Lepisosteus oculatus: one gene and its partner. The protein of the gene in region 1 interacts with the protein of each later gene in a biochemical or structural test. Links are inferred from orthologs where the notes say so. Each region holds a gene or a part of one and is shown on either strand. Other genes may lie near its edges.

The links.
Region 2: the proteins of sec31a (region 1) and sec13 form a complex in vitro, tested with the Homo sapiens proteins (2 studies listed by BioGRID and IntAct, with this or other methods). The link is inferred for Lepisosteus oculatus from reciprocal best matches to the Homo sapiens genes SEC31A and SEC13.

Annotation. Positions count from the first base shown.
Region 1 is NC_090698.1:27,495,368-27,503,062, reverse strand, and holds the start of sec31a (protein transport protein Sec31A), read left to right. Parts: upstream 1-4,592; 5' UTR 4,593-4,840; intron 4,841-7,695. UniProt on the Homo sapiens protein: Component of the coat protein complex II (COPII) which promotes the formation of transport vesicles from the endoplasmic reticulum (ER).
Region 2 is NC_090699.1:58,913,356-58,921,060, forward strand, and holds the start of sec13 (protein SEC13 homolog), read left to right. Parts: upstream 1-4,482; 5' UTR 4,483-4,679; coding exon 4,680-4,682; intron 4,683-5,228; coding exon 5,229-5,273; intron 5,274-5,569; coding exon 5,570-5,685; intron 5,686-6,057; coding exon 6,058-6,209; intron 6,210-6,931; coding exon 6,932-7,065; intron 7,066-7,705. Other genes in the region: cand2 (cullin-associated NEDD8-dissociated protein 2), read right to left, coding at 755-1,011, 1,618-1,741, 2,098-2,252, 2,621-2,764, 3,834-3,901. UniProt on the Homo sapiens protein: Functions as a component of the nuclear pore complex (NPC) and the COPII coat. At the endoplasmic reticulum, SEC13 is involved in the biogenesis of COPII-coated vesicles.

The DNA of each region.
Region 1 (7,695 bases):
TTAACTCTTTAACAAGTCTATTCCGTATTATTACAAGCTCGTTGCCAATAACCTACTGACTAGTAATCTTCTCCATATCTCACTGTCGTCACTTGACAATAAAGCAACTAGTAAAAAAAGAATTAACACCCTTTTTCAAAACATGCTTTACCTTCTCGACGATTGTACAATTTAATGCACTCTCGGGTAATACAAATCTCTTTACCAGTTGTGTGAAGTTCAAACATTATGTGTGACCACTATTGTTTAAACAAGCAGGTTAAATATATTGTGGGGGGGGGAGACACTTCCGTATATTTCAACAGGTTGAACACCTGCATCATCGCTAAACTGTATTTCCAGACCGGAAGTAGAAAACTCCCAAGCAACCACGCGTATTGTCCACATTTTCTTTACGTCATTGGCGTCTTTTTACGACCTACCCATACTGCCCCGCGGAGCTCATATAAAACCCCTAAATTGTGAGCGTTAGCTCCTTTTTGATGCTGGGGTGAGAGGAACAAAGTAGAAGACGATGTGGAAAGCTGATCCTAGGGGTGGCACATGTGGTGTGCTGTGCAATGCTGGCGTATGCACAAAAGATTATTTCAACGATGTGAGACAAAAAAGAAGACGCGTGGAGGAGAAGGGAGCACGGAGTAAGTTACAGCAAGTCGGGTTGCGGTAGGGGTCGGCAAAATTATAGTTATCTGAGCAATATGTTTGCACCCTTTCCTCTGGTTATGTACTTAATTAGCGCAATAATGATTACGATGATACCCAATGTCGCCTGTGTCCGATGATTTTAAACTCTTTTCTGCTGTTCACATCATGAAGCATTGTGATTACGATTTATCTAGTTATATGAGGACACGGGCTGACTTCGGTTTCTTACCGCGCCTATTTAGGCGACACGAAAATCTGGCCTGACTTAGTTGTCGTTCTTATTAACCGATTCCACTTGGTGAAGGATCTTGTCTGTAAGAGTTCATTCTGTGTTCCATTGTTCTGGTAAATTGTTATAGTTTCCAAGCCACGTTTTATTTGAAGTTGGCGCTCCTCCCCCAACACCAACGATGAGCTCTAAACATCTTTTGTTTCCCTTCCAGATTCCTTCGTTGCCCATTGAAAGGTCTTGATCCTTTTGGAGATGGAGTGTAATTGAAGTTTGCAAGGTAATTTACGAGCGCCTTTTTTAACAATGAAGCGCGGTATATTCCTTCACGCACGTGTAATGTCCCACAAACCTCACGCCGAACAGAACACAAAGGAATTGAGTGCTAGTGTCAGTCTAACTTGTCTGAACTTCTTTAACAGTAGTTAAGAAGGATGTAGGGCAGCATCCGTTTCTTGTAAATTCAACACAAGTCTCCCGTTACTAAATCCTAAGTGCAGGAAATGGCGGAGTCAATCGTGTGGCTCAGATGAGGGAGTACGATTAGAATGAAATCGTTTTTTTAGGGTACAGAGCACCAGCACTGTTTTACCCGAGCTCTCCCGTATCCGAGTTGAGAAAATTAATAAAGGTTTCAATTGTGCAGCTTGTTAAAACAAATCTCAGCTCGATTAAATAGACAGCTCAGATTTAGGCTTTGGTTTCCTTTAAAATATCACAGAACTGCTGAACACAATTTTTTGCCATGATTTTTAATAAGCTGTGATTCTTATTAGTTTTTCTTCTTGTTTCTCTTCCTTCAGAACAGGAGCACTTCACCCTACTGAGGTTAAAGGGACTGTGGGGCTGCACTGTCTGGTACCATTATCTCCACTCGGCAGGTGAGCCATGGAGTCACTGTACACATCACAGCCAATCTGACTGGCCCAGTGATTATAATCAATCACTACCCATCTGACCCTCCTCTGGGGGGAGGATTAAAACTTGTATATGAGGGTGCAGTCAGCTGCTGGAAATCCTTTGTCGTGGAGGCCCCGATTAGTCATTGCGTCATAAAGGCCTCTGGAGAAAAATGTTTATTTTAAAATGTAGCAAATGTTTTTGGCTGTAGTGGCCAGATCTTGGTGCAGAAGGGCCACATAGCGGTCATCTAATTTCATTTTTAAGTACATATCTTGTAAAATGGAAAGATGGGTTAGTTTGAGATCTATAAGTGGTTTAAGAAACTTGCCATTGAGAGGACTGGCCAGTGGTGCTTATATACCCATGTGCTAGGCTCTATTACTGTGGGTGTCTTGCAGTACACCGTAAAAGGACACAAAGGACCTGGCTTCTACCAAATGCTAAGTGTACACTAAGCGAGGCCACAAATGCTAACTGATGGCAGTATTTGCTATTGCATCTTGTGGCCTCCTGGCATTCTATCAAGCAGCATCTTCAAAGAAACCCATTTATTTGTCATGTATTTTGGGATTCATATTCACAGTGTTGTCTCGGGACTGTAGGACTGCATTACAGTGCATTGAGGAACTGGAATTTTAACTATTATCCTTCATGCACACGCCTAATAGTTGGAAAATCTCTCAGCCGGGTTTTCATGTTGAGCCCAGTGAAGGAAGCCTTCCACAGATGGTGTCTTGCTGGTGACCATGAGGTCAATCTGGCAGTGCAGGGGGGGGGATCAGGGACGAGCCAACAATCTTACAAGTGTGTCCATAGCCTTGTGTGGAAATGGAAGGAGTCTTCAGTCTACATCTCGCAGAACTAAAATATCAATTCCTAATGGGAGGCAATGAAGTCCGTTGAATGTGTTGGTGATCTTGACATTCTTATCTTTGCAGTGTTCCTGGGGATTACAGAGGAGTCTACACGAATGCTCTAGACCTGCTTTTGCCTGGTTTGAAGACCAGCTGCTTCTGATCTTGTGGGGAATCCTCTCATTTGCAAATGTGGGGGGCCATCTTGACCAATTAACCATGAAAAAACAATAGGCTTCTCACATCCAAGCCCTTTTTTTCATGGAAGCCGGAATATCGGCTTCAACATGGCATAGGGAACAAGCCAACCAGTCCTCAACCCATCGGCCATAAACTTGTGTTGCAGACATTTCAACAACCATGTAAAACAAGAGCCCTGGTTTTGGTTTATTAGAAGCTGTTTTCAGAGAAGTATGTGTGTAGAGACGAAATCAATTTTAGGGTGTTGCAGATAAGGTCACATTAATGTAAAAATGAGATTTCAAACATTATCCAGGAATTCTTATATGGCTTTATATATATATATGTGGAGCCTTTTGGTTCTCACACTAGTTATTTTACCACAAGAGTTAAGTTCTTGTAAATTCTGGTAATATTCCAGGCTTACTCTGAAGCCTTAATTCTTAAGTGTAATGTAATTTTGTGCCAAATAAATATCTTTAATGAAACATGACTGCAGTTCTTTGAATTTCTTGCCTCAAGCCAATGTCTTATTGGGTAACCAAACACTACGTGTTCTGTGCGTTTATAGCTATCAAAATGGATCTGGATATCTGGGTACAAGTCTTTTCCACATTAATGATGTCTTGATGTGAGCCAAGTGTGCACATTTTGGAATTAACCATGAGCAAATGCTGATCACCTGGCCTCACGTAGACCAAGAGATCATTCAGTATTGGTTTATATTCTGTGGAATTTACAGGGCATCTTTTTTTTTTAGAAGGGTCTGAAACAATGTAGGTTTAGAAACAAGTAGAGGGTTATTACAGGCTGAAACATTTCTGCTGTGGAGCCTTCTTCAGGTGTGTCCCAAGCTGAAATGTTTTTCCTTTTTTCAGCATGGAATAAACCTTTACATGTTCCTTTGCAGGTCATGCAGCTACCCACTTGAACTACATAGGTTTAGTTTGTCTAAAGCCTCCCAAGAACCTTTTTAAAGAGATTGTGCTGAGTTGGGAGACAGATTAATTGAAAAGTAGTTATCCTAGCAATGCTGCTTCAGCAGCAAACCTGTAAAACAATGCCCCCTTTCATAGACCTAGTGGAGGCAAAAGATTACATGAAAACTATAGTTTGATAGCGTGTTGCAGTGGATTTCCTGTTAAGGTAATGAAAACATGTTTGGGAGCTGCTTCAGAGCATTTGGATTGTTAAAGTAAACCAAACATGATTAATTGAAATAACATCTTTAAATAATGTACTTTAATTGTTGAGTGAACGTTTTCCATAAGATTGATATGATTTTACATCCAATTTAATTTTGAGAATTGAAATGAGTGAAGAAAAATGAAAAAATCTCCAGGGTTTTAGGCTTTAATTTATTCTGACATGCATAAATGGATTATAAACATCTTTACAGAACAACGTGGAAAAGGTGAGATCATTTTTTGTGACATTACATTCCTGCTGGAATATAATCATTAAGTTATTGCAAATATATATTTAAACCATGTTTTTCTAATTTTTTGTTTCTCCCCTTCTGAAAAGTACCAAAAAATACGTGGTATTTTACAATTAAGGTTTTAGTAAATGGCGTCGCAAAAGATGCATCCATGCGATAATATTTTAGAAATAAAAAGTGAATGAAAAAAAGATTAAATTATACAGGCATTTTCTATTTGTGCAATTCTGATTGTTGCAAACCTATTAACTTCATGTGTCGGTCCCCGAGCAAGGACCGTCTTGAACCCTGGGAGAGAGATCCGCGTTCTCCTCCGCCGGCTGCGAGAGCACCGTCCTGCTCCGCTCGCCGGAAGTGCTCAGTGTGAGGGGTGGAGAGAGGATTGCCACGTTGATGGGGACGTGGACTTTGTTGAGTCGCAGCCGTAAACCTGCAGCCGGGACCAGAAATAATAAACCCCGTAACAACCAGGAAAGGGAACCTGAAGGATAAAGGGGGGAAATATACGATTTAAAGTGGATCAAGAGCAGGCTGACTTCTGATATTTACTTTTTTTATTTTAAGCAATCAACGTACTGTGCACGGAAGGTAAGGGGACTTTCGTGGAAGATATTCCACTTATTTGTATTACTGCTCGGTACCACTATACCACCAGCCTTCATTCAGGGAGAACACTGAATTTGTTGATCTGCATCCTAGGCCTCAATGCATTCAGGTCTCACAGCTGCAACGCCGGGCACCAGTGAATATTACAAATCCACTCTCGGTTTTACGTGTATGCTTTGCAAGTATTCCTCCGGTTACGCGACGTAAAACCGTATTTTTGGACGCAGCTTCATGCTGCCCCGCAGTTTCCTGTCGACTTTGGTCTTTCCGTTTCATTCATCTAAAAAAGGTAAAAGTTTGCATGAGTGGCGTTTTGGAGCTGTGGTTTTCTGTTCAGCATTAATGTGCTGCTTTACGAAAACAATTTGTGTTTACAGTATTACCCCCCCCAGCGAATCACTGGGAAAAAAAACAGTGCTTGTTGGCACAGATCTATGAATTAGACCAGTCGTAAAACTTCATTTTTTTAACAGATTAAACGTTGCTCTTTAAAAGAAACGCGTTTTTAAAAGGATCAAGGAAATCGCTTACTGTTGTTTTCATATTTATATGTTTTACCACAGAAACGGCAATTCGGTGCCAAAACGCTGTGGCTAGTTATCTATTGAGCCTTTGCCCTCTTGTGTATCGCTGCATACGGTTCACAGACTGTGGCCAATGAGAGTGTAGAATAAAACATTTTTTAATACAATTTCGACCTCGTTATGGTCTTTGTTTGAATATTTGTAATTTCACAAATAGTAATTCCTATTCATAATTACATTTTAATCGCACTTAAATTTAAGTCATTTAAAAAAGAATTATTGCATTTCACTGTGGTGAAATATTTAGGCGTGGTGAGTCTTTTTCTCTGTAAATGGCTAATTTTAAGTATAAACAATGTTTTAACAATAGGTTTAATCATATAAATGTTAATTCTCTTCCCTAACTAGAACTCCCTGGGACTGAGAAGATGTAGTACATGATTTAAAGATTTATATGACATAAGAGTTCTTTCTTATGACCTGTTTGAAAAAATGTGTCTTAAAAGTTAATGGAGAAGAATTTAAAAGTGTGAGAACTAGTTGGGATGAGAATCTTACAAAACTGCCCTAAAATTTCGTATTTAATAAATTGTTGTGCTCTGGCCTTTACGAAAACCATATTAGACCTGCTGCGTATGCAGTTCTGGGTTTCCAGCCAAGTCTTCTCAGTTATGGCATTAGCCAGTGATTTGCAAATAAAGCCATCTGAGAGGAGAGTTAGTGATTCTGGGTTACTTATAATTAAGAGTGTTGCGGTTGGCAGAGTTATCATCCTACTATACATATCATACTACTGACTTCAGGCTACCAACTAGGTTCATTGTGCAATTTTTGATTACGTCACATTGCTAAAATATGGTATAATCAGCCTTAAAAGCACATATATTGTCTGGGTTGAGGGTCCCATTTTCCCCTGTATGCTTTGTACGTATTGCATCCACATTTTAGCCAATGAATGATTATTCCCAAACACACTATAAGGTTCTTTTACTTAATGGCATGTTGGTGAGTGGGGTAGGTCTGACGTTGGACCTGTGGGTTTGTGCCTGTTGGGAAGGACTTGCACATGCTGGTCTTTCTGTTGTGTGACCTCCTCTTCTTGTTCTCGAGTGGATGTGAGCCAGAGTGGGCAGGCTATATTTGAACTGGAGTCCTGATAACCCTGATGTGACCTCATTAACTTGAATTCGTATAGGGAGCTGATGTCTCATCTAGTGCCTTAGTTTCTTCTGTGCAGGTCATTTGACTTGTTAGGTCTCAGCATGAGGTCTAACTGTTTCTTCAAAACTTTGTCATTAGGTGCTTTTGGCAAAGTTAAAGGTCACTGATGTATTCTAATATTTCTCCTTTAAACCTCAGCATTGTCCAAAATGTGTTTCTGTGACATTCAAATTAACTCAGTCAAATTGTTTAAAAATGGTGCAGTTAATTATTTCTCTAATTAGTGATTTGTTTTTGCCCCTTGGGCAACTACAGCTCTTTACTGAGTTTTGCTCTCAGCATCACTGTCTCTCATTTAAAAACATCAAGGCTGATTTTAATTGTTTTCTGCTGACATCTGTGATTACAGTAATACCCGAATTACAACCGAGAAGGGTTACCGTTTTAACTTATAATTTATGTCTCCAAGCCCATTCATGGCTTGGCTCTTGTGTTTTATGATCTATGCATTGCTGTGTGAAAATTAACTTGCAGGTTATTATTAATGTTTGTAAAAATCTATTATGCAATACTGTTGTAAATGCTAAAATCCATTTTTGTACTACTTCATTCTAAAGTTCCTTTTGCATTTTCCATTAAATAACTTTTTAGAAATTGATTATGTTTTAAAAAAGGGAGCTAAATGTAAATAAGCAGATTATTATTTATTATATTTTTCTTTGTAAGCTGTAGTGTCTGTTGATAAAATGGGGCCTGTGCATCATTAGAAAGCTCCACCTGATGACCTGCAGGTCTGAACTTGTCCTCAGAGTTTTCTGTGGACTTTGGTGGCAACATGAAAAACACTCGCACAAAAAATAGTGTTTATTTTGGAATATCTTTCCAACAGGACCACGGAACTAAAATTACCACTGATGGCATAAGCATTGTTATCCTGTATCTTGGAGGCAGACAGTCCTTGAGTACAAGATTCCTGCAGATTTTAGATTTATCTTCCAAAAATGCTTGAATAACATCTTGAAAATGCAGATTTCATGCCTACTAAATTAGCTGAATTAAGTTCTGTGATGTTTTTACTCCTTCACGGACCGTAATCAAATCGTTTTTGATGACCACACATTACTTTAAACATGGTTATTGATAAGTTTTTCT
Region 2 (7,705 bases), on another chromosome or scaffold:
TTCCTAAATCAAAAATGTTTTGATATAGTACGGTACAGTATTGTATAGACTTCAGTAGGTAAGTGAAGCCCATTATATATTTCCACTGAAGAATCATGAACAAGGACAAGAAAGTAGTTATAGCAATTGGCAACCCAGTTTGTATTTTATCACACTAAGAAAGTATGTAATAAGGCATATAAAATGCACATGAGGAAATTGCTTACAGAAAATAGCAAGGCCAATAATTATGTGATCTAAAAGTGGCTGAATTAAAGAATAATGGGGAGTTGTTGTCTAGCTTTGGCAACATGTCCCATCACTGAATGTTAAATTTTATCATTTAGTTTTGATTGTGTAAACACAAAGTAGCCTTAAGAAGCAATAAGGAATTAAGAACTGCCATTAAACTTTAGATTCTTTACTACTGAAACCAGCTATGTACTCCAATTCAGATATTTCTGTACCAGGTGATATCTCAATACAATGTTTCCTCATTTGTTTAGTTTGTTTTATTAGCAAGGAGAAAATGAAAACATTCGTAATTATACAACTTATTATTATTATTTTAAGAATCTTTGTTTCTGTCCCTTTTTTTACCACTGACTAGTAGGAACTATTATATGTACACATTGTATACATATATTTGTATATAGAGCTTATCAGATTTCATTAAAACATTTCAGATCCAGATCTGTTAAAAGACAAGTGGTTTAACAAAAAATAAAAACCTGAATTGGAAGAACTTATTTACTCTTAAGAGACGCTGTCTTACCCACTCTGTGGCCGGCCTGCCTGCTGATGGCAGCCACACACTGGATGTAGGTACGTGTGGTGGAGGTGGAGGCGTTTCGGGTGAGCTCGGCCAGCAGGTGATCCATGAGCTGGGTGAAGACAGGACTGCTGCAGCTGGGGACCAGGTGGCTGAGAGCAATGATGCCCCGCTTCCTCACTGCCAGGCGGGGGCTGGTGAGCTGGGGCAGCAGGCTGCTCAGAATGGAAGGGTGGAAGATCATGAGGGTCCCACTCAGCCTGTGGGCAGAAAGGATATAAGAGATGAATATGGGGTCAGGAATTGACAATGTCCCCCGAGACGTCCAGGGTCCAGTGTTGTGCATACTGCTTATATTAGCACAATACTGTTCATCAAGATAAATAAGAGCAGATGATGAGTTTCAAGGTTCAGGCTGGAATTATAGGTAGAGCATCTGAGTGTGTTGAAATACACACCATTACTTGTATACTGGCAATGGCCTCAAAGGTCTCTGTATTAGACTGAGAAGAATGTAATTTACATCTTTATCAAGGAAAATAACCACCTACAGTATTCAGATCATTATTTAAAGCAATAATGAAAAAGTCAGCTAAGGAAATGCCTTGCTTCAAAGCCTTTGTGTGACCTTTCTTCTCTAATAGAACAGAACTAGCAAAGCTGGTAAGTGCTATAAAACTGTTTTAAAAATTATTTTTTTAGTCAGTGCTTTAAAATAATCATTCCAGAGACATGGATAAGAGTGGAGATGCCAGATAAAACTAACAAATAGTGGAAGACAATATAATAAAGTTTCATTTAAGTAAGATACAACTACAGTGAAGATTTACAAATCACTTCTGTGACACAGAGTGAACGTCTCCTACCTGCTCAGCATGTCTGAGAGGATATCCAGTGCCTCCAGCTGTATGGACACATCCTCTGTTTTCCCAATGGTTGATGTCAGCTGTGTTGTTATTTTCTTACACACATTTGCTGTCAGAGCAGACCCTGAAAAATGTAGTATTATTTTTACAGATTCCATCACTGTACGTTTTTGGAGTAAAATGTTAACTGTTTGGTTTTAGATTTTTAAATTTTAAGATTAATTTACTTGATAACGAGCAGTGGATTTTCAAAATTACAATTTCAAATTGTTCACTTGGAAGTTCATCATTATCCATGGCATCTTGGGTATGCAAACATCTCTATGAAATCTCCAACCCCAGTCCTAATACCTGCAGTAACACTCACCCTAACACAGTTAGTTTTTGGTGAAATCCATGACATCAGGATGAACAGCAGATGGCTGAAAGAATCAATACCTTCATTATAGCTGATCGTAATAAGATCATGAAATCTCTTACCACTGGAGGATGGAGGAAGCTCAGCAATGACTGTTTTCAGGCCCATACTTGAAGTGTCTCGTAGTTGCTCTTTATCTGAAAGCATGTTGGAACACAGCGTGTCCACAATGGTCTCCACCTGGTATTCTTTCACCTTACTCACCAGTGGGCCCAAGCTTAAACACACAAAACAAAGAACAGAAAAATCAACAGTAACAGCTGTCTGTTCATTGCAAACATTTTTTTTCTGTGTGATACACTGGTTTAATTTATCCTGAATGTGATATATGCCCTTGACGTTTTTAGAATTTGCTCCAGTTTAATATTTAGTCCAACTATTGTTTCTTAGGAAAATTAACACAACTCTTTTCAATGACCGCTTTCTCTCTTGTTAGATTTGCACCTTGACTGTTTACATGAGTTTCAGAAAGTCAGCTCTGGAGCAAAAACCTCTTTGAAAATCACACTGAATGTCGGTTGTTTATAATTCCCTGTCAGCGGTATGGGATTTAAAGGATTGTGGATACTTATTAAGCTCACTCACCATTTGACTGCAAGGTTCTGAACCTCTCCATTCTTATCTTCCAGCAGCCTCAGGAGCATCGCAACCACCTTCTTCTCACTGTCTTCATCTAGCTTGATGGAGTCTTTCTGGAGCTCCATCATCAAGTCATTGGTGGCCATGAATCTGAAAGCAGATACCCACCACTGTCATAATCAGCACCACTACTATTCCAACAGGCCCCTGACACTTTCTTCTGAGATGTCCAGACCTCCGAGGGGCGAAATCCAAAAAGCAGAAAGGGAGGGTTTGAGTGAGGTGATGGGTGTTACACTGTTCACAGGGGTAACAGCAGTGATGTCCACACGCAGCTCTGCATAACCTAAATCACGTCATCATTGTCTCAACAGAAAATATATCAATCTCACCCATCTCTTCAGATGATGAAGCTTTCAAAAGACCTGCAAAACCTGCAGACACCCTCGCCTTCTATGACCAGGATTATAGAAACATTGGGGAGTCCTTTTATCTAAAGCAGTCATAGAAATCTCATAGTTCTCACTTCTCCAATGATCTACTGTGTAAGTGACTTCTTCTGCATAATGACTAATACAAGTCACCCAGCTGGCTGCTTTACACCAGTGGTGGGTTAAGTGGGTTCCCTTCTTCATGTAATACACTTTGGGATCCTTTATATTTAAAAGTAGTAGAAAAATTCAATGAATCATTATTATTGATGTTGTAAATGGTTTATATGTCTGCTAATACTCTGTTTATAAACCGTTGGCAAGGGTTCTGAACTGTCTTCAGTAATGAATATAAATAATGAATACACAAGAAGAAGAAATATATTTCAAGAAAACAAAATGCATGAAGGATTTTATCCTTTGTATGAAACAACTGTCATCTAAATTAGATGTGGAATTAGAGACCACATAATACCAGTCACTCTGACATTAAAATATGTTTTACAACTATCCATTTCCATAAACCAATGTTGTATGTTTATTTTTCAAGTTAATTAATTTTACTGCAGGCAAAAAGTTTAGTACCACATAATATTCATATCAAATTTCCTGACGTTTAAAAAATATTATGGCTAATAATCCCACACACTTAAATCCATCTTAAAATGTGAGGATGGACTGAAGCAAAATGTAAGACGCTCAGCTGACAGACATTTCCAATGTCATTTCACCTTTAATTTAGCTATGCTCTAGGTTGCATTAAAACATGCAAACTAATACAGTCTTACCTAAAATCTTTATCAGTAGATGTCATTTTCTCCAGTAGGTTGGAGATATGATAAGTCACACTGGCCATCTTTTGAGTTTACCTTTGAAACTTGTATTCACTCTACAATCTTTTAAGTAAGTATAGCAGAAATTTCTTTTAGTTTACATGGAGAACATGGCGAGGGAGAGACAAGAGTGACGCTTCAGGGTAAGAACAAACTGGAAAACCTGATACTCGGCACGCAGCGATATAAATAGCTTACAAATTGACTCGCTACTAGCACCGCCAAGTGGTATTAACGCCTATTGCAAGAAAGTCATACTTTTTAGAACTCACAGTACGGTCCTGTCTTCCAGGTAGTGTTTTAGTTTTACGTCACCTTTTAATTAAAAAAGAAAATTTACTATGGTTATTTACGATTATTTGTCTATGTAATAATATAGGTAATATGTATGGCTCTCTTGACATAATGGGTTTGTTTTAGTAATTAAAAACAATTGTTCGCCCCTTTACGTTGGAAGGAAATACTTGGTCATGTTTGTATTTGACGATAAAATGTATTGCAAGAACTGTGATAATGCCACTTGTGTTAAATGTGAAATTACGCCATGTAGACTGCGAACTTTGTAAACAGAGTATCAATGTTTGCTCGGAACTCTGTATCGTCGCTCCTTGTTGTAGCCCGACAGAAGGAGTGGGGATGCTCCCGGAAGTGGAGTTGAGTTAGAGAAGAAGTGGAGTTGCCACGTCTAAGAGAGGAAAACGGCTGGAGCGGGAGACAAAATTGACTAAACGAGATATTATAAATCCAATTTATTAATTGTTTTTAATAAGAGCGGTCATTTTAACAGTAGTCAGCACAAATATGGTGAGTAAATCTATTTTTAATCCTTGGTAGAAGTCTCATGATGGCGATTGCATTTAAAGTTTTTGATCGGTTTGCAGAATGTATCTCATTCATTGAAAAAAATGCTTGATTTTACACTTACGGTTATAGCTTCAATAACAGTTGAAGCAATATCTAGATTTCTGAAGCACGTTTAAAGACGAGGATGAATGTCATAAATCGTTGATTTACGAAACGACAATCGCCACGTCTAAACGTAGATGTTGGACTTTGAGATAACAGGCGCCTAAGGTTTGGAAAAACTGCCGACCTGTGATTGTAGAGACATTCCTGTATTGATTTATGTTTTCAGTAATTAGTAAACAAAATATTGAAAACAATACATAGCAGTATTGCGTGCAGTCGCTTTATAAATTTGCACGGCGTCTTTAGAGTCATATTGTTGTTTTTGCCTAGTTGCTAGCTTTGTTCATTAGGAACCACAGTTTAATATACTAAAAAAAAGGTTTGGTTTCATAAGTAACCTCTACATTGTAATATTAATAGTTATGCAATTTTCCCTCTTAGGTTTCAGTTATAAATACTGTGGACACGTCCCATGAGGACATGATCGTGAGTATTACTGCTTTTCGTAATTATGTGAAATGCTAAATAACCACTGTTGTGTGTTTAGTTGAGCGGTTTGAGATCGCTGAAGAATGCAGTTTCGTTATACTTCGTTAAAAAGTCCTCTATTAGTTATTGTCTGTTGTTAGTTGTTAAAAGTTTCTACTGTACTATACTTTTTTGTCAAGCAGCCAGGAATTGAAGGTGTCCAGCTGTTTTATGTTTCAGAATTTCAGCACTTGGACACTACCTGACCCTGTCTGCCCTTATCTTCTTTGCCATGTATTTTTTTCTCTTGCCAGCATGATGCTCAGATGGACTACTATGGTACCCAGTTGGCTACTTGCTCGTCCGATAGGTCTGTAAAAATATTTGATGTGAAAAACGGAGGTCAGATCCTGGTTGCCGATTTGAGAGGGTAAGTTCTGGGATGGTTTTCTCACCGTTACTAGTTCAGTGGTATTTTTCAGACAAGTATTTTGCTTCTTGGGAGATTTATTCCCAGAGGAGTCAGGTAGTGTCTGTTCTTAATCATCTGTTTTATCCTTTACATGAGGCAACCACGCACAATCCTTAAAGAGGCTGTGCTCCTGGGTGTAATTAGGTGGCGCTCACTCCTATGCCATGTGCCTCACTTGTGTTTTGATTGTGTAAATGGTTATTTTGTAGCTGTAAACTTCTATCCTTTCATGGAAACATTTGAGAACCTCTTTTGTTAGTTTTTTTTTACATTTCTGCTGATTATGAAAATATAATAATACTGAAGCATTTTGTCCTTACTTTCCTACAGTCACGAAGGGCCAGTCTGGCAAGTGGCCTGGGCTCATCCAATGTACGGGAACATTTTAGCGTCCTGTTCCTATGACAAGAAGGTGATCATATGGAAAGAGGAGAACGGCACATGGGACAAGATGTATGAGTACACAGGCCATGAATCTTCAGGTAGACAGACTAACTGACAGGCTATTGCTGCATTTCACCTTTTTGCGGACCATTTTAGTTTTTTTTCTATTTGCTGTCCAGCACTTGGGGTATTTTTCTTAAGTTAATGATAACTTCATATCACCTTTTTGTAAGGCAATATAACCATTGCCACAAATAGGCCAGACGATTACACCAATATCTTTTCCCTGTTTTAGCTTTTGAACGTTACCTTTGATTTCAGTCTTTACTTGTGAATGACAGAGACAAGATAACAGGTTGAAGTATAAGGCAATTCTCGTTCTGCATGCACAGTGGCAGAAAAGTGGAATTTACATCAAGCACGAACTTGAAATGTTTGTACATTTGTCTACAGAAGAAGAAAAACATGATTTTACATTGTACACATGCTAAATTTCTACCAGTACCTTAACAGGATAATCGCCACTTGTATTAGCAAAATGAACCAAAAAAGAGACCTTTGAAGTAATATTGAATAAGCTAACTTTAATTAAAATGGGTTAGTCTTGACAATGGATCTTTAGTGCCCTAAATACTGTTATTGATCTTTGGTAATGTCTTAAATGTCGAGTAATTAAAAGACTTGAAGGTTCTATTATGAAAATAAGATAAGGGAGATGTAATAAAAGCATGTGTGTATAAAGTGGTTGCATCTCAGTAAGTACTTGTGGTGCATGGTTGCCTTCTAAAAGCTGCCCTGTGTCTCTGTCTCGTACTTGAAGTAAACTCGGTGTGCTGGGGGCCCTATGACTTCGGACTGATTCTTGCCTGTGGCAGCTCAGATGGTGCAATATCGCTGCTCACTTACTCCGGGGATGGGCAATGGGACGTCAAGAAGATCAGTAACGCACACACTGTAAGGGGCCTTTAATTTGACTTTTAAGTCATTTTTTTCTCAATCTTAAGTGTCACTTGGTTAAAGGTTGTGAGTCCATAAGATCATCAAAGAATGTTTAGCTCTTTCCTTAAAGAACAACAATGAAAACAATAAAAGAAAGCTCAGCTTATAAAATTTTGTTTGTGTAAAACTGCATTTAATAGTAATTGCAGTAGCTTGATCAACAGCATATATATATATGAAATTATATATAAAATAATTCAAACGGTGTAAATGCCAGAATAAACTTGCAAAATAAACAATATTTGGCACTTATTTTCTCTCTCTAAGATTGTAAGAATTATAGTACATTATCAACTCAGTGGCCCATACCAAACATAGTGGATTAAAAAGCTGCATATGGACATTTTTATAGAATGGAGTATGGTTTTGTAATGTTAATTGTTCTTGTTTTGTTGCTTCTAATAGTGCTTAGTACTGAAATAACTGGAAATGTGAAATATCAAGTTTGAATCATTGAAATGATTTACAGTTTGTCTTCCATTGTGTGAAATTCATAAACTGGTGGTTGATGTTCAGCATTGTTGAACCTGAGAAGTTTAATGTTTTTTGAGATTCATTTCATTGTGGATTAACTGAAAACATTTTAAAAAGAAAC